4 linked regions of the Schizosaccharomyces pombe genome follow. Changing the gene in region 1 together with any one later gene gives a genetic interaction. Each region holds a gene or a part of one and is shown in the gene's direction. Other genes may lie near its edges. The genes, in order: wsp1, aip1, bzz1 and myo1.

The links.
Region 2: of wsp1 (region 1) and aip1, a mutation in one rescues a mutant of the other (synthetic rescue), as found in Schizosaccharomyces pombe (one study listed by BioGRID).
Region 3: of wsp1 (region 1) and bzz1, a mutation in one rescues a mutant of the other (synthetic rescue), as found in Schizosaccharomyces pombe (one study listed by BioGRID).
Region 4: mutations in wsp1 (region 1) and myo1 are lethal when combined (synthetic lethality), as found in Schizosaccharomyces pombe (2 studies listed by BioGRID).

The regions. Positions count from the first base shown.
Region 1 is NC_003424.3:4,860,611-4,865,570, reverse strand, and holds wsp1 (actin assembly factor), read left to right. Parts: upstream 1-2,063; 5' UTR 2,064-2,122; coding exon 2,123-2,338; exon of another isoform or gene 2,339-2,423; coding exon 2,424-3,764; exon of another isoform or gene 3,765-3,814; coding exon 3,815-3,947; exon of another isoform or gene 3,948-4,006; coding exon 4,007-4,041; 3' UTR 4,042-4,318; downstream 4,319-4,960. Other genes in the region: SPOM_SPAC4F10.16C (P-type ATPase), read left to right, coding at 1-987, 1,034-1,610; btf3 (nascent polypeptide-associated complex beta subunit), read left to right, coding at 4,339-4,384, 4,543-4,952. UniProt on the Schizosaccharomyces pombe protein: Has a role in regulating actin assembly, so regulating polarized growth.
Region 2 is NC_003424.3:1,974,844-1,979,737, forward strand, and holds aip1 (actin cortical patch component Aip1), read left to right. Parts: upstream 1-2,013; 5' UTR 2,014-2,058; coding exon 2,059-2,163; exon of another isoform or gene 2,164-2,224; coding exon 2,225-2,348; exon of another isoform or gene 2,349-2,418; coding exon 2,419-2,520; exon of another isoform or gene 2,521-2,560; coding exon 2,561-2,606; exon of another isoform or gene 2,607-2,712; coding exon 2,713-2,758; exon of another isoform or gene 2,759-2,807; coding exon 2,808-3,749; exon of another isoform or gene 3,750-3,795; coding exon 3,796-4,218; 3' UTR 4,219-4,366; downstream 4,367-4,894. Other genes in the region: translocase Oxa101, read left to right, coding at 442-470, 536-1,286, 1,363-1,707; cytokinesis protein Cyk3, read right to left, coding at 4,521-4,894.
Region 3 is NC_003423.3:2,464,173-2,469,307, forward strand, and holds bzz1 (diacylglycerol-binding protein Bzz1), read left to right. Parts: upstream 1-1,855; 5' UTR 1,856-2,000; coding exon 2,001-2,039; exon of another isoform or gene 2,040-2,083; coding exon 2,084-2,110; exon of another isoform or gene 2,111-2,164; coding exon 2,165-2,228; exon of another isoform or gene 2,229-2,279; coding exon 2,280-2,400; exon of another isoform or gene 2,401-2,478; coding exon 2,479-3,515; exon of another isoform or gene 3,516-3,561; coding exon 3,562-3,918; intron 3,919-3,961; coding exon 3,962-4,226; intron 4,227-4,294; coding exon 4,295-4,313; 3' UTR 4,314-4,567; downstream 4,568-5,135. Other genes in the region: ATP-dependent RNA helicase Dbp5, read right to left, coding at 175-1,686; SPOM_SPBC12C2.04 (NAD-binding dehydrogenase family protein), read right to left, coding at 4,889-5,135. UniProt on the Schizosaccharomyces pombe protein: Plays a role in endocytosis and trafficking to the vacuole. Functions with type I myosins to restore polarity of the actin cytoskeleton after NaCl stress.
Region 4 is NC_003423.3:1,023,463-1,029,879, reverse strand, and holds myo1 (myosin I myo1), read left to right. Parts: upstream 1-1,906; 5' UTR 1,907-1,949; coding exon 1,950-1,952; intron 1,953-1,996; coding exon 1,997-5,647; 3' UTR 5,648-5,917; downstream 5,918-6,417. Other genes in the region: coatomer beta subunit Sec26, read left to right, coding at 1-764; monooxygenase Coq6, read right to left, coding at 6,025-6,417. UniProt on the Schizosaccharomyces pombe protein: Type-I myosin implicated in the organization of the actin cytoskeleton. Required for proper actin cytoskeleton polarization.

The DNA.
Region 1 (4,960 bases):
TAGTGCCATTCATGAACGGAACGAAAAGGTCAGTAAAGTTTCAGAGATGATTGAGCAAGAGCTTGAATTACTCGGTGGAACAGCAATTGAAGATAAACTTCAAGAGAATGTACCAGAAACTATCGCTCTTTTGGCTATTGCTGGAATTAAGTTGTGGGTGTTGACTGGTGATAAGGTAGAAACGGCAATCAACATTGGGTATTCATGCAATCTTCTTGATCCAAACATGACTATTTTTCGAATTGATGCAAACTCTTTCGGTGCCTTAGAAGAAGTAGAAGCTTTTATTAGAAACACATTATGCTTTAATTTTGGATACATGGGAACGGATGAAGAATTCAGATTTTTGTTGAAAGACCACAGTCCGCCATCTCCGAAACACGCCATAGTTATTGATGGGGATGCCCTGAACTTTGTTTTGTCTGAACAGGTCTCTTTTCTTTTTTTAATGTTATGTAAGCAGTGTAAGACAGTTTTGTGCTGCAGGGTTAGTCCCTCTCAGAAGGCAGCTGTTGTTGCTTTAGTCAAGAAGAGTCTAAATGTTGTCACTTTAGCAATTGGAGATGGCGCTAATGATGTTTCGATGATTCAAGAAGCCGACGTTGGAGTAGGGATAAAAGGCGTTGAAGGGCAAGCAGCTTCAATGTCGGCGGATTATGCCATCGGTCAATTTTCTTTCCTAGGGCGACTACTTCTAGTTCATGGACGATGGGACTATAAAAGAATGTCTCAAATGATTTCATTCTTTTTTTACAAAAATGTTATTTGGACATTTATACTTTTTTGGTATCAATTTTATAACGAGTTTGATGGAAACTACATATTTGATTATACCTACGTGATGCTTTTTAATCTGCTGTTCACATCACTACCCGTAATTATTGCAGGTTGTTTTGACCAGGACGTTGACGCATCTGTTTCAATGAAAAATCCAAGCTTATACCAACGGGGAATTTTAGGTCTAGAATGGAACGGAAAGAGATTTTGGTAAGTATAACTCTGAAGATTTCTGTTTGCTAAATATTTATTTTAGGTCTTACATGCTAGATGGAATATATCAATCATTGGTATGCTTTGGGGTAGCTCTATTTGTTTTTAAGTTTGGTGATTTTGTAAGTTGGACTGGAAGGAACATCGAGTGTATAGAAGACATAGGACTTTTTATATCCTCTCCTACTATTTTTGTAATCAACATTTTTATATTGATGAATCAAGAGAGATTGAATTTAATATCACTTATTACTTGGATGTTCAGCATAGGTGTATTTTGGATATGGACATTTATTTATTCAGAAGTTGGCCCCTCTTACGCTTTCCACAAATCAGCTTCGCGAACTTGTCAAACTTTTGGCTTTTGGTGTGTTACTGTTTTAACCATTGCCTTATGTTTGTTGCCTCGCTTTTCCTATATTTGCTTACAAAAATTGTTTTATCCTAGAGATATTGACCTTTTACGGAGACGACTTTGTGCAAAGTCAGATGATGAGACTAGCAGTAGTTCATCATTTGCAACAGATATAGAAATGTGCGAACAATGTAACGACCCATTAAGTTCGAAAAAAAATTCCGGTATTGTTACTTCAGTTTCATTCGATGATTCTAATAAGTAGCCATACATCTGAGTTCGCACTGTTTGTTTATGTAGTTATACTACTCCTACCGGACGAGAGTCTTTTTATTATCCTCAACATCACGAATGACTTTTTCTTAATGTTCCCTTTTTTTTCTAATAATTAATGATTATGATTAAGTCATTTTTTTAATAATCTTATAATAAACTAACATTATGAGACAAGCAAACTTCGTATGGTTGAATAAATTTTATTTACCTCTTTACAATGAGGACGATAAGTATGTAGAATGTAAAAAATATTAAACCCGAATTAATGTCTCAAGTTTTATTAATCTATAAACAGTTAATATAATTAGCAAAATTTACCAGCTGCTAATAAGTGCGTTGCAAATTTTTATAGTACATAGCGTAGTATAGTATACTACACTAATTATCACTCATTGGCTTGTTAACTACAGTGAAAATGCTAACAAACGGGAGGAACCAAAACACCACTTATACCACTGTGAGACAGCAATTTTTGAATTGCATTACAATCCGAAAATTCAAATGCCTCCATCTTCCTCTATAACTCAAGAGGATAAGGCAACTATCCGTAAATACATACCTAAAAGCACAAATAAAATCATTGCAGCAGCCGTCGTCAAGCTATATGTAGCTTATCCTGATCCGAACAAATGGAATTATACAGGTCTTTGTGGTGCTCTTGTATTGTCCTATGATACAACAGCAAAATGCTGTTGGTTTAAACTGGTTGACGTTGTGGTATGTGTATGAAGCTTTGATACTCAAAGCAAACTACAAAGAGTGGTATACAATTTAATTGAATTATAACCTTCTAACGTTTTAGAATAATAGTGGTATAATATGGGACCAAGAGCTTTATCAAAATATGGACTATCGCCAAGATCGTACATTTTTTCATTCTTTCGAGCTTGATAAATGCCTAGCAGGTTTTAGTTTTGCAAACGAGACAGACGCTCAAAAATTTTACAAAAAGGTTTTAGATAAAGGTTGCCATCCTGAATCAATTGAGAATCCGGTTTTGTCATTTATTACCAGAAAAGGTTCTTCTAGACATGCGCCTAACAACAGCAATATCCAACCTCCCTCAGCTGCTCCTCCTGTACCTGGAAAGGAAAATTATAATGCTGTTGGATCTAAAAGTCCCAATGAGCCCGAGCTTTTAAATTCGCTTGATCCGAGCTTAATTGATTCTCTAATGAAGATGGGCATTTCCCAGGATCAAATTGCTGAAAACGCAGATTTCGTCAAAGCGTACCTTAATGAATCAGCTGGTACACCTACCAGTACTTCTGCACCTCCCATCCCTCCAAGCATTCCTTCCTCTCGTCCCCCAGAGCGTGTTCCTTCTTTGTCTGCACCTGCTCCTCCCCCAATTCCACCTCCATCTAATGGAACTGTCTCTTCTCCTCCTAACTCCCCTCCCCGTCCTATCGCTCCTGTTTCGATGAATCCTGCTATTAATTCCACCTCGAAACCTCCACTCCCTCCACCATCTTCAAGAGTCAGTGCGGCAGCTCTAGCTGCTAACAAAAAACGACCTCCTCCGCCTCCGCCTCCATCCCGTCGTAATCGTGGTAAACCACCGATTGGTAATGGTTCTTCTAACTCGTCTCTTCCTCCACCTCCACCACCTCCTAGATCTAATGCTGCTGGCTCAATTCCTTTGCCGCCTCAAGGTAGATCTGCTCCTCCTCCACCTCCTCCAAGGTCTGCTCCTTCCACTGGGAGACAACCACCCCCTTTATCTTCATCTCGTGCAGTTTCAAACCCACCAGCCCCTCCTCCAGCTATTCCTGGTCGTTCTGCGCCTGCACTTCCCCCTCTTGGTAATGCATCACGAACAAGCACACCTCCTGTCCCTACACCTCCTTCTCTTCCTCCTAGTGCACCTCCATCTTTGCCCCCCAGTGCACCACCTTCTCTACCTATGGGCGCACCAGCTGCTCCCCCCCTACCACCTAGTGCACCAATTGCTCCTCCTCTACCCGCTGGTATGCCAGCTGCTCCACCATTGCCTCCCGCTGCACCAGCTCCTCCTCCAGCTCCAGCTCCTGCGCCCGCCGCGCCTGTTGCTTCGATAGCTGAATTGCCTCAACAAGACGGCCGTGCTAATTTAATGGCCAGTATCAGAGCCAGCGGTGGTATGGATTTACTGAAAAGCAGGGTAAGTATTGATATTATTACTTAATGGTTACTCGTACTAATATTTTCCAGAAAGTATCTGCTTCTCCTAGTGTCGCATCTACAAAAACTTCGAATCCTCCGGTAGAAGCACCCCCTTCTAACAATCTTATGGATGCATTGGCAAGCGCTTTGAACCAACGTAAAACCAAAGTCGCTCAGAGTGGTATGTCCGGATTTCTCGTATTTTTTTTCAAAAGTTCTTAAGTTTACTAATTCTTTCAGACGAAGAGGATGAAGACGACGATGAGTGGGACTAGTTATTAATATCTTTGAAATTACCTATACTTTTTTGATTCACACAGTCTTTTAAAGTTTTGTTAAACGACTTCACTATTTTTATTTGGATTTGTGTTTATTGTATTAGAGCAAACACCATTTATTCTAAATTGAATAACGCGAATTTGTGTTGATATTACTATTCATATATCGCAACACAGTGTGTATCTTTACTTTATTGTAAGTATGGGAGCAGTCACACATTTCGGTACCACAACTTTAGAAACGTCAAGTTCAAGTCCTTCCACAACCAAAAACGTTTGGTCAAATAGAAACAAATGGATCCCTCCAAATTGGCTAAGTTGCAGGCTGGCGCTCGTATTGGTATGTTCGAATGCATCCCCGTGTTTTGAAGTTGACACCAGCTCTAAGAAATGCCTTGAACGGTTTCAAAGTGGTTCCACTGTAATTGATGCTGGCTATTGAAAACACAGTTGTACTTTTTTCATAGAGAACTGCTTAATTAACTTATCATTGTATAGGTGGAAAGGGTACCCCTCGTCGTAAGGTGAAGAAGCCTTCTAAGTCTGCCATGAGTGCTGCTGATGACAAGAAGGTTCAAGGTGCCTTGAAAAAGTTGAATATGCAAAACCTTGCTGGCATCCAAGAGGTTAACATGTTCAAGGAAGATGGCGGAGTCATTAATTTCCGTGCACCTACCGTTCATTCCTCGCTTCCTAATGAAACTACAGCTATCTATGGTAAAGCAGAGGAAAAGACTTTGTCTGAGATTTTGCCTGGCATTTTGAACAACCTTGGTCCTGAATCCTTGACTGCCCTTCGTCAAATGGCTGAGCAATTAAAGGTCAGTGAAGGTGAAAAGGGAGCTGATGCACAAGCCGACGATGGAGAAATTCCTGACCTTGTCGAAAAGTTTGACGAACAAGATTAAATAAGCAA
Region 2 (4,894 bases), 2.9 Mb from region 1:
AAGTATTTCAGTATATTTTTAGCACATCCCGATTACCCCATTTCTACTAAAGGGTATTCAAAATTCGAATAATTTATAAAAAATTCAATTCTCTCTATGTATTTCTTTTGTTGTTATTTTGCTAACATTTATTTGGTTCTAAATAGTCAAACTGTCGTAATAATATGCACATACCATGAAAAATCCAGAAACTTAATGAAATGCAACACGTTCGTTTGGGCGAAATATTATCAAATAAAAAAAAAAAAATAAAAAAATAAAAATCCAAACAATAAATGTATATCATTGATTTAACACAAGCACCTTGTCCACTTAAATCCACCCGTATAAGAATATGAAGGACGACTTAACTTCTCCCGATCGTATAATATATATTATCATATGGACTAATCTATTTTTGAAGACTAGTTAATCTCGAATTATAAACTATTAGTTGAAGCAATGTTACATTTTCTAATTAGACCTTCAACGTAAGTGTTTACAAAAAAACTATAAAAACTTGATATATTGAATGCTTGGTAATTGACCAATTTAGGCGATGCGCTGGAAGCCCCCATTTTAACTCCACTTCTAGTTTTCTGAGAAAAAGATTACAATCTAAAACTATTCTATCAAAAAGATTGGGGTTTCAATTTCGACCCTCTTCTACCAATGTACTCGCTGAAGTTAGTACAGCTACTTCTGGGTTCAACCCATCGTGGTGGCCTTATGCTCTAATCCAAAATACTGCTTACACGATTAATGTATATGCAGGAGCTCCTTGGTGGGTTTCTATCATACTCACAACTTTGGGGGTTCGTTTGGCCCTTACTCCAGTTATGATAGCTTCATTTCGTAATAGCACGAAGCTGTCCGTTATACAGCCTGAGATGAAAAAAGAACTAGAGGCGATTAAAACAGCAAAACTGGATAATGATCAGCTTGCTTTAAATCAACATAGCATTGCCTTGCGAGGCATATATTTAAAGCACAATGTTAATCCTTTTGCTATATTTATTCTTCCTTTGACCCAGAGTGCCGTTTTCTTTAGTTTTTTTTATGCAATTAGAAAGATGTCTCGTTTGTCGGTAGACGGTTTTACCACTGGAGGACTTGCATGGTTTAAAGATTTGTCAATACCTGATCCTTATTGCATTCTTCCCATTATTAATGCCGGACTTATGTTTTCTGGAATGCAGATGAATCGTGCAAATACTGCATCTACTATAGGGAATTCTACCAACTGGAGAACTTTTTTCTTTTTGTGCTGTCTTTTAAGCCCTCTCTTAACTGCTAAACTTCCAGCCGTACGTGAATTTTCAAAATAGTCAAATCTGTTTTAAGCCTTTATCTTAGAAGAATAACTAACCAAAGATCAAATAGGCAATATTTATGTATTGGATACCCAGCAGTCTGTTTAATATAGTGCAAGGTTATATTCTAAAAAATCCCGTTGTTCGAAGTAAACTTGGCTTCGCTCCGCTACCATCAATAATAGAAAAGCAACCTTCAGGCTTTACTTTGATTACAAACCCTATTAAATCCTTAAAAGAGTTTTACAAAGGAGTTCGTGACGGTTTTAAAACTCAGTATGAGCAATTGCAGAAGGATGTATCAAGACGAGCTGTTGCTACTACTTCAGCTTCAACCATTCGACCTAATTCTCATTATAAAAAGCTCAAGGAACTTAACCGTAGTAAGAAAAATTCAAAGAAGCAAAGTAACTGATATTTTAATTTTGCTTAAATTTTTTTCATGATATCTACTTCTTTAATTACTCATCAATTTTCATTTTGATATTCATGTTCGTTAAAGTCATATTGTACTGTTTTAGGTTATTATTTGACCGCATTAGTATAAAAACGTTCTTCTGTGTATTGTTGCAAAAAGTGATTTCTACGGTAGTATTAAAATTAATCCCTATATAAATCATATATTCCAATGACATGTACTGCTAAAGTATACGCCTCTTTAATATGGTAATCTGTTGCTCGTTTCATTGTCAAATATCTCCTAGTAGCACGCTCCATCTGCATAGAACCACATCTTCGCTACTTACAATAAATTAAAAACAGAGCAATGTCTTCTCAGTTAAAATCAACTTGGGCGCCAGTTCCTTCAACAAAACCTTCACAGCCTTGTAAAATTGGCACTGATTTTAAAGGTGAAAGGATTGTTTATCCCGTAAGTTTGTCGAATCCGTATGAATTGGTCGATTAAAGAACATTTACTAAATAGTTTTTAGGCTAACAAAGCGATAATAATTCGTGAAATTGAGAAACAGGAAAACTGCTTTCAATATAATGAGCATACTGCTCCTACAACTGTAGCACGATTTAGCCCTTCTGGATATTATGTAGCTTCTGGCGGTACGAATGCTAATTATTGCTATTATTTCTTAAGTTTTTATTTTTAAACGTTACTAATGATCAACTATAGACAATCAAGGTAACGTCCGCATATGGGATTGTGCTGGAGAAGATAAAATTTTAAAGAACCAAGTTACTGCTATTAGCGGACGAATTACTGATTTAGACTGGGGTAAGCCTGTTCAAGTTTCAATATGCTAATTGATGAAAAGACGGAGACAGTCAGAGAATAATAGCTGTTGGTGAGGGTAAAGAGCGGTAAGTGATTTCTATTGTTTTCGAAGGATGTGTTAAATTATTGGATTTACTCATAATTTCAAAAATTCCAATATTTGTTGACTCTTGCTAATCTTACTTTTAACAGATATGGACACGCGTTCACCGCTGACTCTGGTAATTCTGTTGGTGAAGTAAGGGTTTTATTAGTCTCCAACTTCCTTAAAATGTTAACGGTTACAGATTTTTGGACATTCGAGCGTAGTGAATGCTGTTTCTTTGCGCAAGAGTAGACCGTTCCGTGCTGCTACTGCATCTGATGATAATTCCATCAATTTTTTTCACGGTACTCCTTATAGATTCAACCGAAGTTTACGCGTTCACTCCAAATTCGTTTATGATGTCCGTTACTCTCCTAACGATGAAAGATTTGCTTCAGCTGGAGCCGACGGTAAGGTTTATGTTTTCGACGGGAAAACAGGAGATCAGGTCTATGAAATTGATGCTCATAAGGGGTCCATTTTCTCTATTTCTTGGTCTCCAGATTCATCTCAATTTGTCACATCTTCTGCGGGTTACAGTTGCAAAATATGGGATGCTAATACCGGCTCCCTAATTCGCGAATGGCTTTCGTCGGACAAGAAGCAATTAGTTGGAACAGTTTGGCCAACTAAAGACCTAATAATAGTTGTTAACTCAAAGGGAAACTTAACATATCTAAATCCTTCGGACTGTAAGGTAATTGATACAATTTACGGACACCAACGCTCTATCACTGCCGCTACACTTTCACCTGATGCTACCCATTTTTATACTGCCTCATATGATGGTACTGTTCTTTCATGGGATATCGGCAAACAGAAAGCATTCCCTTTGGTTGGTGAAAGTCATACCAATCAAGTCATGCAAATGATAATGGCTGATGACCATGTTATCACCATTGGCATGGATGACACGTTAAGGGTAATCGATATCAAGCAAGGGTGTTTCGCGAAAGATAATGTTTTTCCAACTGGCTACCAACCTATTGGCGTATGCTCGGTTGAAGACTGTTTGATTTTGGTAACGGTTTCGGATATCCAAGTCCTCCGTAGTCTTACTGGTGTTTCTACAGCCAAGACTATTTATCAGCCTAGCGCAGTTGCTTCGCATCCCTTAAAAAGTGAATTTTGCGTTGGAGGGGAGGTATGATACCATATTTTAATTTCCATATAATTATTGACTTTTTTAGGACTGTTGTGTATACATCCATACCCTTGAAAAAGGTGAGCTTTGTGAAGTAGCTCAATGCAAAGATTCAACAGCACCGATTACATGCTTAGCTTACTCTCCGGATGGAAAGTATCTTGCATGTGGTGATGCCTCAGGGAAGGTTGTACTTTATGACGCCAATTCTCGGGAAGTTATTACTTCTCGCTGGGCGTTTCACACTGGCCGTATTCTAGGAATGTCGTGGAATGCAAAATCTACTCATTTAGCGACCGCTTCATTAGACACCAACATTCACATTTATTCAGTAGAACGACCCATGAAATATATTGCGATGAAAAATGCTCACTCATTGGGAGCTACCCAAGTTGAATGGGTTTCTGAAAATGAGCTTTTAAGTACTGGAAGTGATGCTGCAATCAAAGTATGGTCAGTGACCTTTTGAATTCGTAGTACAATTCTCATTTTTTGCAAGATTTTAATAAAAAAATTTTTTTTGTAAGATACTGTTAGCTTTTCTGATGCCATATCTAATAGTTAAAACTTTCTCATTATTATAATCATTAAAATTAAGAAACAAAGGGAATACAGTTAAGCTTGGACATCACGATTCCAATAGTAATAGATATATATTAAAAACATTAAATGAATAATGACTTAGTTGTAAACATCAACCTTCAATATTACACAGAACAGACATTATTTATAGGAAAATTTATAGGATAAAGTCGCAAGATTTGAAATTATTTAAACCGCCTGCCAGGTTGCATAGACTACCCATCTTCCTATCTTTTCAGCCAAAATTAAAGCTCTGTATTCTCCTGTTTCATTAATTGTTAAGGAAAGGCTGAAAAAAATAACGCCATTTCCAGATCGTTCTTCTCTTAAACGCACAATGTTTCCCGTCGGGGTCTGTATTGCTAATCTGGTATTGCTAATGGAGGTAGATGGCTGGCAGGCATAGGCCGAAACATTAAATTTGTATTCAACACCAGAATGCAATGTACCACATTGGGGGGAATTAATATACAAATCAACCGATGGACAATGTGGTACAGGATGACGAGTCACAAACTCTAGAGCTTTATTTTTGCCATGATGTACAAATGGAAGAGACATTG
Region 3 (5,135 bases), on another chromosome or scaffold:
TTTTTCTTTGTTTTCACACTTCTGCTCTCTACTTTTTGTAAGTGAGATTACGTTCTCTTTCGGTAGTTGATATGCAAAAAAACCAGTGAAATACCAGCATAAGTAAATAATATTCCTTTAGTAATTGGTACCAAGAAACCTATGTATTAAATAATCTCTAAAAATCAACATGCTTTACATTTTAAGTGCATTCTTGACAACTTTTTCAAGCTCTTCGTAGTCATCTGTAGGCACTCGCGTGATGGGACGTTGGAAGTATTCTTGAATGGCGTTCATTTCTTCCCAACTCTTTTTATCGTGAACAAAATTGATACTTACTCCAACACGGCCGAACCTACCGGTACGACCTATACGGTGAAGATATGTTTGTGGATCGGGTCTTCCTGCTTGATCTAAAGGCATATCATAGTTTACAACCAAGTTGACTTGCGATACGTCGATACCCCGAGCAATTACATTCGTAGTAACCAAAACCTTTGAAGTACCTACTCGGAATGAATCCATAATAGCGTCACGTTGTGCACCTTCCAGATTACCGGTAAGACAAGCAACAGTGTGTCCATCTGCAGTCATACGCCTAGCAATTTCTTCAGCGGTATCCTTTTTCTTACAAAATATAATTGATTGACCAATAGTCAATAACCCATATAATTCCACTAAAACATTATATTTATGTTCTTCACTTTGGCAATCCATATACAACTGCTTGATTCCCTCAACAGAAAGCTCCTCAGTCTTCAGACGAATTTCATTAGCATTGGGAGCAAAACGTTCAGCGTACTTTTCAACGCGTTCCGAAAAGGTAGCACTGAAAAGAACAATCTGAGTGTTTCTAGGAAGAAGGTGCTTGATACGCATAGATTGATCTCCTAATCCTTGCTGATCTAACATGTTGTCTGCCTCATCTAACACGAATACTTTAATATCGCGAGCGTCAAGCTGTCTTCTCTTCATCAAATCCATCACAGTGCCAGGCGTTCCGATTACAATTTGAGCATCGATTTTTGCACCTTTAGGGACGGAGTCTTTAATACCAAAAGCTGTTTTTACTTCAGTATATTTGCCCATCTCCGTCACGACATCCATAATCTGACGGGCCAATTCACGAGAAGGAGCGAGGCAGATAGCTTGAGGTTTGGGAACAGAAGCATCAACACGAGAAAGCATCGTTAATGCAAATGCAGCGGTTTTACCAGTTCCGGATTGTGATTGTCCGATCATATTGCGAGGAGGATTTGAGAGTAAAAGTGGAAGCGCCTTCTCTTGAATTTTTGAGGGTTTTTGGAATTTCATTGAATAAATTCCCTTTAATAATTCGGGCTTGAGCTCCAACTCTTCAAAACTTTTAACAGAAAAAAGAGGTGAGTTTGGATCAGCCTGTAGATCTGCTAATTTTACACGAACCTCGTTTTTATTTGGTATTAAATTAGATTCATCATTTTCAGATTGCTTCGTATTGGCGTCCTCTGCAATCGTGTTGGTCGCTTTGTCTTGCTCAGATTTTGCATCAACATTCTCAGTGATTTTTGGACCTAATCTGTCACTTAAATTTGTTGCTTTTTGATCTTCATTTTTATTTTCTGAAGTATTTAACTGATTGACTTTATCACTAATTCTTTGAACCTCTTCATCAGAGTCCAAACTAGCCCAGTCAGTTTTGCTTTCCTGTCCCAGTGTAGTTGACATTTTGGATGTTTTTTAGTAAAAAAAATAAAAAAAATCAAATTTATAGTTCAGATATCCAAACTCAGCAAGGATGACTTAGCAAACTGGATGACAATTTCTGGTGGGCAATGTAGTTGGTGATTGCTAAGTTACTCCTTAAGTGAAAGTTGAACAATATAGGTTTCGATTCACCACCGTACTTCCTTTTCATCAACATTCGTAACGTAAAGCCAAAAATTGTCACAATTTCTTCCGTCAAACTTTCTTTTTAATTGTTTTATATCCGGTACAAATTTTTATTGCAGCGATATCAAACGTGTAGATAATACTGGATAATGAGCCTGGAAACATACAAATTTAGTGATGAACTTCACGTAAGGTGTTTTAGTTATTTGGCATATTTACTAATATATAAAAGGACGATTTTAAAGTTGTCGACAGTTGGGTATGCCAAGAATGAAAATGAAGACAGTTCAACAATTAACACATTGTAACAAAGATTAATAATGGCGCGAAATGGCTTGAAGATATTCAATTGTACTACAAAGAAAGAAGTTCTATTGGTAAATAAGAAACGACAATGGTTAAATTTCAATGACTAACTTTGTTGCTAGAAAAAGAATATGCTCAGAAATTAGCCAGTCTTTCGAATAAATATGGGGAGAAGAAATCCAGAAAATCATCAGCCCTTTCAGTCGGAGATACTCCGGCAATGTCTGCTGGCTCTTTAGAATGGTATGTAAAATATTGGAACCTGTCAAGCAATTGAAGTTAGATGGATATTGAATTCCTGTTCACAGGCTAATTTTATAGTGCTTCTTTAACAACATGGTCTAAAATTTTGGATGAGTTAACGCGCTCATCAAAAACTCATCAAAAGCTATCCGATGACTATTCATTGGACATTGCTGAAAAACTGAAGAAACTAGAGTCTCATATAGAGGCTTTAAGAAAAGTTTATGATGATTTATATAAAAAATTCTCATCCGAAAAGGAGACATTGTTAAACAGTGTGAAGAGAGCCAAGGTCAGTTACCATGAGGCCTGCGATGATTTAGAAAGCGCAAGGCAAAAAAACGATAAATATCGAGAGCAAAAAACTCAAAGAAATTTAAAATTATCTGAAAGTGATATGCTCGATAAGAAAAATAAATACCTACTTCGTATGCTTGTATACAACGCCCACAAGCAAAAGTTTTATAATGAAACTCTACCAACGCTCCTTAATCATATGCAAGTATTGAACGAATACAGGGTTTCGAATTTAAATGAAATATGGTGTAACAGCTTTTCAATTGAAAAGTCTCTCCATGATACCTTATCCCAAAGAACCGTTGAAATTCAATCAGAAATTGCAAAAAATGAACCAGTCCTTGATTCTGCCATGTTCGGAAGGCACAATTCAAAGAATTGGGCACTTCCTGCTGACTTGCATTTTGAACCTAGTCCTATCTGGCATGACACGGATGCACTGGTGGTGGATGGTTCATGTAAAAACTACCTCCGAAATTTACTGGTCCACTCCAAAAATGACCTTGGAAAACAGAAAGGCGAGCTTGTATCGTTAGATTCACAATTGGAAGGTTTACGCGTCGATGATCCAAATAGTGCTAACCAGTCATTTGAATCTAAAAAGGCTTCGATAAATCTAGAAGGGAAAGAGCTCATGGTAAAGGCCAGAATAGAAGATTTAGAGGTTCGTATCAACAAGATCACGTCAGTTGCGAATAATTTAGAAGAAGGAGGTCGTTTTCATGATTTCAAACATGTTAGTTTTAAACTTCCGACAAGTTGCAGTTACTGTCGTGAAATTATTTGGGGGTTATCGAAGCGTGGATGTGTTTGCAAAAGTACGAAATATTTGCTTTCTTTCGTTAACTAACAAAACACGTGTAGATTGTGGCTTCAAATGCCATGCAAGGTGTGAACTTCTTGTTCCCGCCAACTGCAAAAATGGTGAGCCCGAAGTGGCCGACGATGATGCTGTAGATACCAGTGTTACTGCCACTGATGATTTTGATGCTTCTGCGTCGTCTTCAAATGCCTATGAATCCTATCGTAACACATACACAGATGATATGGATTCAAGTAGTATTTATCAAACTTCCTTAAGCAACGTGAAAACAGAAGAAACAACGCCTGCTGAACCAGCGTCAAAGGTTGACGGTGTAGTTCTTTACGATTTTACCGGGGAACATGAAGGGGTAATCACAGCTTCTGAAGGACAGGAATTTACGCTACTTGAACCAGATGGTAAGTAAAGCTTGAAAAATCCCATTCTAATAGATCAATATAGATGGCTCTGGTTGGGTTCGAGTAAAAATCGATGGAACTGATGGCTTGATTCCAGCTTCTTATGTTAAATTGAATGATGAATTAAATACGAGTGTGACACTTGATGGAGATTCTTCTTATGTTAAGGCGTTATATGCATACACAGCTCAATCCGATATGGAATTATCAATCCAAGAGGGTGATATAATTCAGGTCACAAATCGAAACGCTGGAAACGGATGGTCTGAAGGGATACTTAATGGAGTGACCGGTCAATTCCCAGCTAAGTAAGTCTTTGTTTTTTTTTTTTATTCATTTCTCCATTTCTTTGCACAAAAACTAACATATGTCTTAGTTATGTTACAGATGTATAAACCATTGAAATATCTATATGAATATTATCTACTTCATTGTTGATAAATTTTACCTTCTTTATGTATTACGAAAAGCAAATTGTCAATAATAACTTACGATTTTTTATCCACTACAATGTAGTTGGTCGATACACCAAAGTATTTTTTTGCTAGATTGATCTTTTTTTTTTTGAATTTTAGATATTTATAATAACTATACTAAATGCTATGCCTAAGGAAAATTTTTTAAATTGAACTATGCTATATTTTTTTCGTTAGTAACCAAAATTTATGTTTACTGAAGAATACAGTTTCGCGTTACGAGAAAATTGATCAACAATTTTTTAACGAATACATACAAACACATTGTCATTACAACAGAGAGGAATCGAAGGATGTGATATGTCATCGTACATTTTCAAAAGTAATCTGCAAATTGAAACAAACATATAAACGACATGTGATATTGGAACTAAGTCTAAAAACATTCCCGATAACGAAGGGAAAACTTTCATGAAAGGTAACGAAAAAGAGAAAAAAGCCAAAATGGTGAAAATATAAGGAAAAAAAAGTTGTGTGTTCAATTCTTCTATACTTTAATTATTCGTAATGATCTTCGTCAACTCGTATGTCTTAGCGCCGTCGTCAAACTTGGACAAAATGCGGCTAGGAGGATATCTGCCCTGGACAACACCCAAGAAAGCATCAAATTCATTATAATAGGGATCATCTTCGGGGAAATTAATAATGCGTTCGCTATCAGCCTCAGGAGAACGAATGTAAAGTCTGGGTTGACCGTAAAAGTCAACCATACGAACATAATGACCATCTGCTTGAAGCTCT
Region 4 (6,417 bases), on another chromosome or scaffold:
AGCAGGATCTTAATTTTGAGTCCGACATCATACAAGCCACCAACGATGGTATGGTAGTGGAAGATTTGGCATCTAAATTAGATCATATCGTACAATTAGCCGGTTTTACAGATCCTGTTTACTGTGAGGCATATGTGAAGATACAACAATTTGATATTATTCTAGACATATTATTGGTTAATCGAACGGATACCACGTTACAGAATCTCTCTGTTGATTTGGCTACGTTGGGAGATCTTAAGGTTGTAGAGCGTCCACCACCCATGAATTTAGGACCTCATGCCTTTAAATCTGTTCAGGCTACGGTAAAGGTATCTTCAACGGAGTCTGCAGTAATCTTTGGAAATATCGTGTATGGTGGTAAAGCATCCGACGAAGACAAAATTGTTGTTTTGAATGGCATTCCAGTCAACATTATTGATTATATAAAACCCGCATTCATTCCCGAATCTCAATTCCGTAGCATGTGGACGGAATTTGAATGGGAAAACAAGGTCGATATTTCTTCCAACGAAGACATTAGTCTGTACGATTTCTTACATAAAATAATGAAGAAAACCAATATGAACTGTCTTACTCCAGACGCGTCTCTGCGTGGTGACTGTGGTTTTTTGAGTGCTAATTTGTACGCCTGCAGTATTTTTGGGGAAGACGCACTTATGAGTCTTAGCGTTGAAAAATCCGTCTCCGGTCCTATCTCAGGACATGTTCGCATTCGTTCAAAAACTCAAGGCATTGCCCTTAGCTTGGGTGCATTTGTTTAGAGTAGAATTATATAAGGAATGTTATCCACTCTTTAAATTTCTTGATGGATTAAATTCACAATGGGAAAGCTGTTATGGATGCTGATTTAGTAGGTATATCATGTGTCTAATATTTCGCTAAATCGATATCTGATACGCTGTTTTATTACTCTTGTTGTAAATACCTTTCCTGCCGTTCTTTATTTAGCTCCTTATGATATTTCTACGATTTCGCAATTAAAAGGAGCCTGCCTTGTCATGTTCTCACTACTTGATATCCTGACATTACTAAAGTTGTGTACCTTGTATTTCTCTGTAACAGGCAAGTAGATTAGCTTTCATCTCGTGCATTTAGTTTGGTATTATATATAAACCCCGTTATTTCAATTAATTATGGCACTCACAAACGTTGTCTATAAATCACTGTTTGTATTCTTTTATAAATGATATAAACAGATGATTATGTTTAAGTTACTGCAAATCATATAGCTTCTCTCATATTGTGTTACATCCTAATATCTGTAATAAGTTAATTGTCATAGAATATACTCAAGGTCAATACGAGAACTACAGTTGTATTTGCTGGGGAATTCAACCTTTTATGTCGCGTTATAATAATCTGCGGCTGCTTTGGTTCTTGAAACGGCGATAGCCGTTATATCTAAAATACTTCAAAACTTCTCGCTTTATGAAAGGTATCTTCGACTTAAAATATTCATAATTGAAAATTCATGTTCATTTAATTCATCTTATCGACTACATGAACACACAATAATCAAATCAAGTATTAACTAATTCAAGCGCGTTATGTTTATCACTTCATCATAATTAGTCGCAAATTTCATACCTTTAGTGTGTTCGTTACCTTACCTAATGAAGTTACCCTAAAACACATTTGGATAAGTTTCGTTCGAGTATGTTACATAACAAGCCTCTTTCGGCTAGGTAATTGTTTTAATGTCAATACCAAAAATGGATGAAGCAAACGACAGAAAGCTAAAGTATATTCAATTTTCAGCTAAAGTACAATTTTAATAATTGGGGTCTGAAGTTTCGAACGGTCTTTGGCAATATTGACCTAGAAACTCATATTTCGCTCATTTTAACGATCCGTAACGCAATTATCTCAGTATTAGAAGAAACCTACACGTAAGTGCGGACTTGTCGTTAACCTATCTCTTGTTCGGCCATAAGTGAATAGATTTTATGGTAAGTAAATATGCATGCCGAATGTTAGCTAATTAATAAATTAGGCCATCCTTAAGAGAACAAACCGCGCGAAAGCTGCGACTGCAGCTGCTCCCAATAGCACTGGGAAAAGCAATGGTATTAAAAAGGCTGTTTATACCAGCACACGCAAAAAGACTGTGGGTGTTGATGATTTAACCCTACTTTCGAAAATTACAGATGAGGAAATTAACAAAAACTTGGAACTGAGATTTCGCAATGGAGAGATTTATACATATATTGGACATGTGTTGATTTCTGTAAATCCATTTCGAGACCTGGGTATTTATACGATGGATATTTTGAAATCATATCAAGGAAAAAACCGTTTGGAAACGAGCCCTCACGTTTATGCAATTGCTGAGAACGCTTACTATCAAATGAAGTCTTATCATGAGAATCAATGTATTATCATTTCTGGTGAATCGGGTGCTGGTAAGACTGAGGCTGCAAAAAGGATCATGCAATATATTACACATGTTTCAAAGTCCGTTGGCACTGAAATTGAAAGAGTTTCCGAAATTATTTTAGCTACCAATCCTTTATTGGAAAGTTTTGGTTGTGCAAAAACTCTTCGCAATAATAATTCTTCTCGTCATGGAAAGTATTTAGAAATGATTTTTAATTCCGGAGGTGTTCCTGTCGGCGCTAAAATTACGAACTACTTATTAGAAAAGAACCGAATTGTTAATCAAGTTCGCAATGAGCGTAATTTCCATATTTTCTATCAATTCACCAAGAGCGCTCCTCAGAAATATCGTGATACATATGGCATTCAAGGTCCGGAGAATTATGTTTACACTTCTGCTTGTCAATGTTTGTCGGTTGATGGGATTTCAGATGAGAAGGACTTCCAAGGAACGATGAACGCCATGAAGGTTATTGGTATCACCGAGCCGGAGCAAGATGAAATATTTAGGATGCTTTCTATCATCCTTTGGTTAGGAAATATTCAATTTCAAGAAGGCCAAGATGGTGGTAGCGTGATTTCTGACAAGAGCATCACCGAATTTTTAGGCTATTTGATCGGTGTTCCTGTTGCGGCTATTGAGCGTGCCTTGACAATTCGTATTATGCAAACTCAGCATGGTGCAAGGCGCGGATCTGTATATGAAGTCCCCTTAAATCCAACACAAGCTTTGGCTGTTCGTGATGCTTTGTCTATGGCGATTTATAACTGTCTTTTTGATTGGATTGTCGAACGTGTCAACAAAGCTTTGGTCACATCAGACAACAGCGTTTCCAATTCGATTGGTATTTTAGATATTTACGGCTTTGAAATCTTTGAAAACAACTCTTTTGAACAATTGTGCATTAACTATGTTAATGAAAAATTGCAACAAATTTTTATAGAACTTACTTTGAAAACTGAACAGGAAGAATACGTGCGTGAGCAAATTGCTTGGACTCCTATCAAATATTTCAACAATAAAGTTGTATGTGATTTGATTGAATCCAAACGACCTCCTGGTCTTTTCGCAGCAATGAACGACGCTATCGCTACCGCTCATGCTGACTCTGCTGCGGCGGATAGTGCTTTTGCTCAGCGGTTAAACTTTTTATCCTCCAATCCACATTTTGAACAGAGACAAAATCAATTTATAGTCAAACATTACGCTGGTGATGTAACCTACAGCATTACAGGAATGACCGATAAGAATAAGGATCAGTTAGCAACTGATATTCTTAACCTTATTCATTCTTCCAACAACGAGTTCATGAAATCTATTTTCCCAGTGGCTGAAGAGAGTAACTCCCGTCGTCGTCCTCCTACAGCTGGTGATCGTATCAAAACTTCTGCTAATGATTTAGTAGAGACTCTTATGAAATGTCAACCATCGTATATACGTACGATTAAACCCAATCAGACTAAGTCGCCTAACGATTACGATCAGCAGATGGTTTTACATCAAATCAAATATTTAGGTTTGCAAGAAAACATTCGTATTCGTCGTGCTGGTTTTGCTTATCGTCAAGCTTTCGATACGTTTGCTCAGCGTTTTGCAGTTCTTAGTGGTAAAACCAGTTATGCAGGAGAATACACTTGGCAGGGTGATGATAAGTCTGCTTGCGAACAGATTTTGAAAGATACCAATATTCCTTCATCTGAATACCAAATGGGTACTAGCAAAGTTTTCATTAAAAATCCGGAGACCTTATTCGCGCTCGAAGACATGCGTGATAAGTTTTGGGATACAATGGCAACCCGTATACAACGTGCTTGGCGTTCTTATGTTAGAAGAAGATCTGAAGCTGCTGCTTGTATTCAGAAGTTGTGGAATAGGAACAAAGTTAACATGGAACTTGAACGTGTTCGTAATGAGGGTACTAAACTTTTGCAAGGTAAAAAGCAACGCAGAAGATATAGTATTTTGGGATCCCGTAAGTTTTATGGAGATTATCTATCAGCTTCAAAGCCTAATGGTACTCTATGGAACACATGCGGCCTCTCTCAAAACGATCACGTAATTTTCTCAATGAGATGTGAGGTCCTTGTTCATAAGCTAGGCCGCACTTCCAAACCTTCTCCTCGTCAACTGGTTCTTACCAAAAAGAATTTATATTTGGTGATTACAAAAATTGTTGACCAAAAGCTCACACAACAGGTGGAGAAGAAGTTCGCTGTATCTTCCATCGATTCTGTTGGTCTTACAAATTTGCAAGATGATTGGGTTGCAATTCGTAATAAGTCCAGCCAAAATGGAGATATGTTTTTGCGATGCTTTTTCAAAACAGAATTTATAACTACCTTAAAGAGAATCAATCGTAATATTCAAGTTATCGTGGGTCCCACCATTCAATACTGCCGAAAGCCTGGCAAGGTACAAACTGTTAAGACGGCAAAAGACGAAACCACTAAGGATTATGACTACTACAAGAGTGGAACTATTCATGTTGGTACTGGCTTGCCTCCTACCAGTAAGAGTAAGCCTTTCCCTCGCTTAGCAACTGGTGGTAGTACAGCAGCTGCTAGAGGGCCTCGCCCAGTTGTGCAGAACAAACCTGCTGCTACAAAGCCCGTATCTATGCCGGCTGCGAAGAGCAAACCTGCTCCTATGGCTAATCCCGTAAGTACTGCTCAACAAACCCAAAATCGTCCCCCTGCTCCTGCTATGCAAGCTCGTCCTAATACAACTCAAGCTGCAGCCCCAGTTACAAGTACGACTACAACTATTAAGCAAGCAACCACTGTTTCTGCTTCTAAACCAGCTCCTTCCACGGTAACTTCTGCAGCTTCTTCTCCAAGCAATATCTCTAAACCCTCTGCTCCAGTTGCTAATAACGTCAGCAAGCCTAGTGCTGTTCCTCCTCCTCCTCCTCCTCCTCCCGCTGAAGTCGAAAAGAAAGACTTGTACTTGGCCTTATATGACTTTGCGGGACGCAGTCCAAATGAAATGACTATCAAGAAAGACGAAATTATAGAAATTGTTCAAAAGGAGCCAAGCGGGTGGTGGCTTGCTTTAAAGAATGGTGCTGAAGGATGGGTTCCCGCAACCTATGTGACAGAATACAAAGGTTCTACACCTCAAACCACCGCTTCTTCGACTAATGTTGCAGCTCAAGCGAATAATAATGCTAGTCCAGCTGAAGTCAACAACTTAGCTGGTTCACTTGCTGATGCCTTGCGCATGCGAGCATCAGCTGTGCGTGGTAGTGATGAAGAAGAAGATTGGTGAGCTTTCATTATGATGTATATATAATACGGCCAGTACATTGCTTGATTCTTAATTTGCAATAATGAATGGCTTGTGACAACTATAGTCTCTCCTATCGCATGTTTTTTAGCTATCAATGAAAGCTTCTAGTATTTGCTTCTTGCATGTTTTATTGTGATAGATTGAGAATACTCTTCGTCGACGACTTTGATTAAGCAAAGCTAAATAGTAATTTAATTGTGAAATATAGTTGATACATTGCATAGCGTATACTTATAAATGGGACAAAAGTGATAGCTTCTGTAATAATATTAAAATCATTATCTTGTTTATTGTTTGAATAAATTAGTCAGCTCCAGTGGTAAAACGTAAATATAGTATAGTAGACTTCGACAATACTAAATTCCATTAGCTACCGTAGAAAGAATGAAGTTTTTCAAGCTAGCACTGCGATCAAATAATGAAAGTCCAAGGGTTCGTACAGAAGTGACCACCGGATTTTCCATTGCGTACAGCTTGTGGAACTTATCAACGACTCCTAGATAAACATGGTTTTTGAAGTAACGGTCACGGAAATACGGTTGGAGTGAAAAAACACTACCAATATCCTGACCGTGCTTGATAGCAAAAGAGAGTGCTGATATTAAAGATTCAACATCCTGAATTCCAGTATTTAATCCCTGTCCAGCTAATGGATGAGTGTTATGAGCAGCGTCCCCGCAAAGGGCAATTCCTTCTTTTACATATTCATCAACATGGGCAAGTCTCAACGGAAATGCCGCCCTAGAACC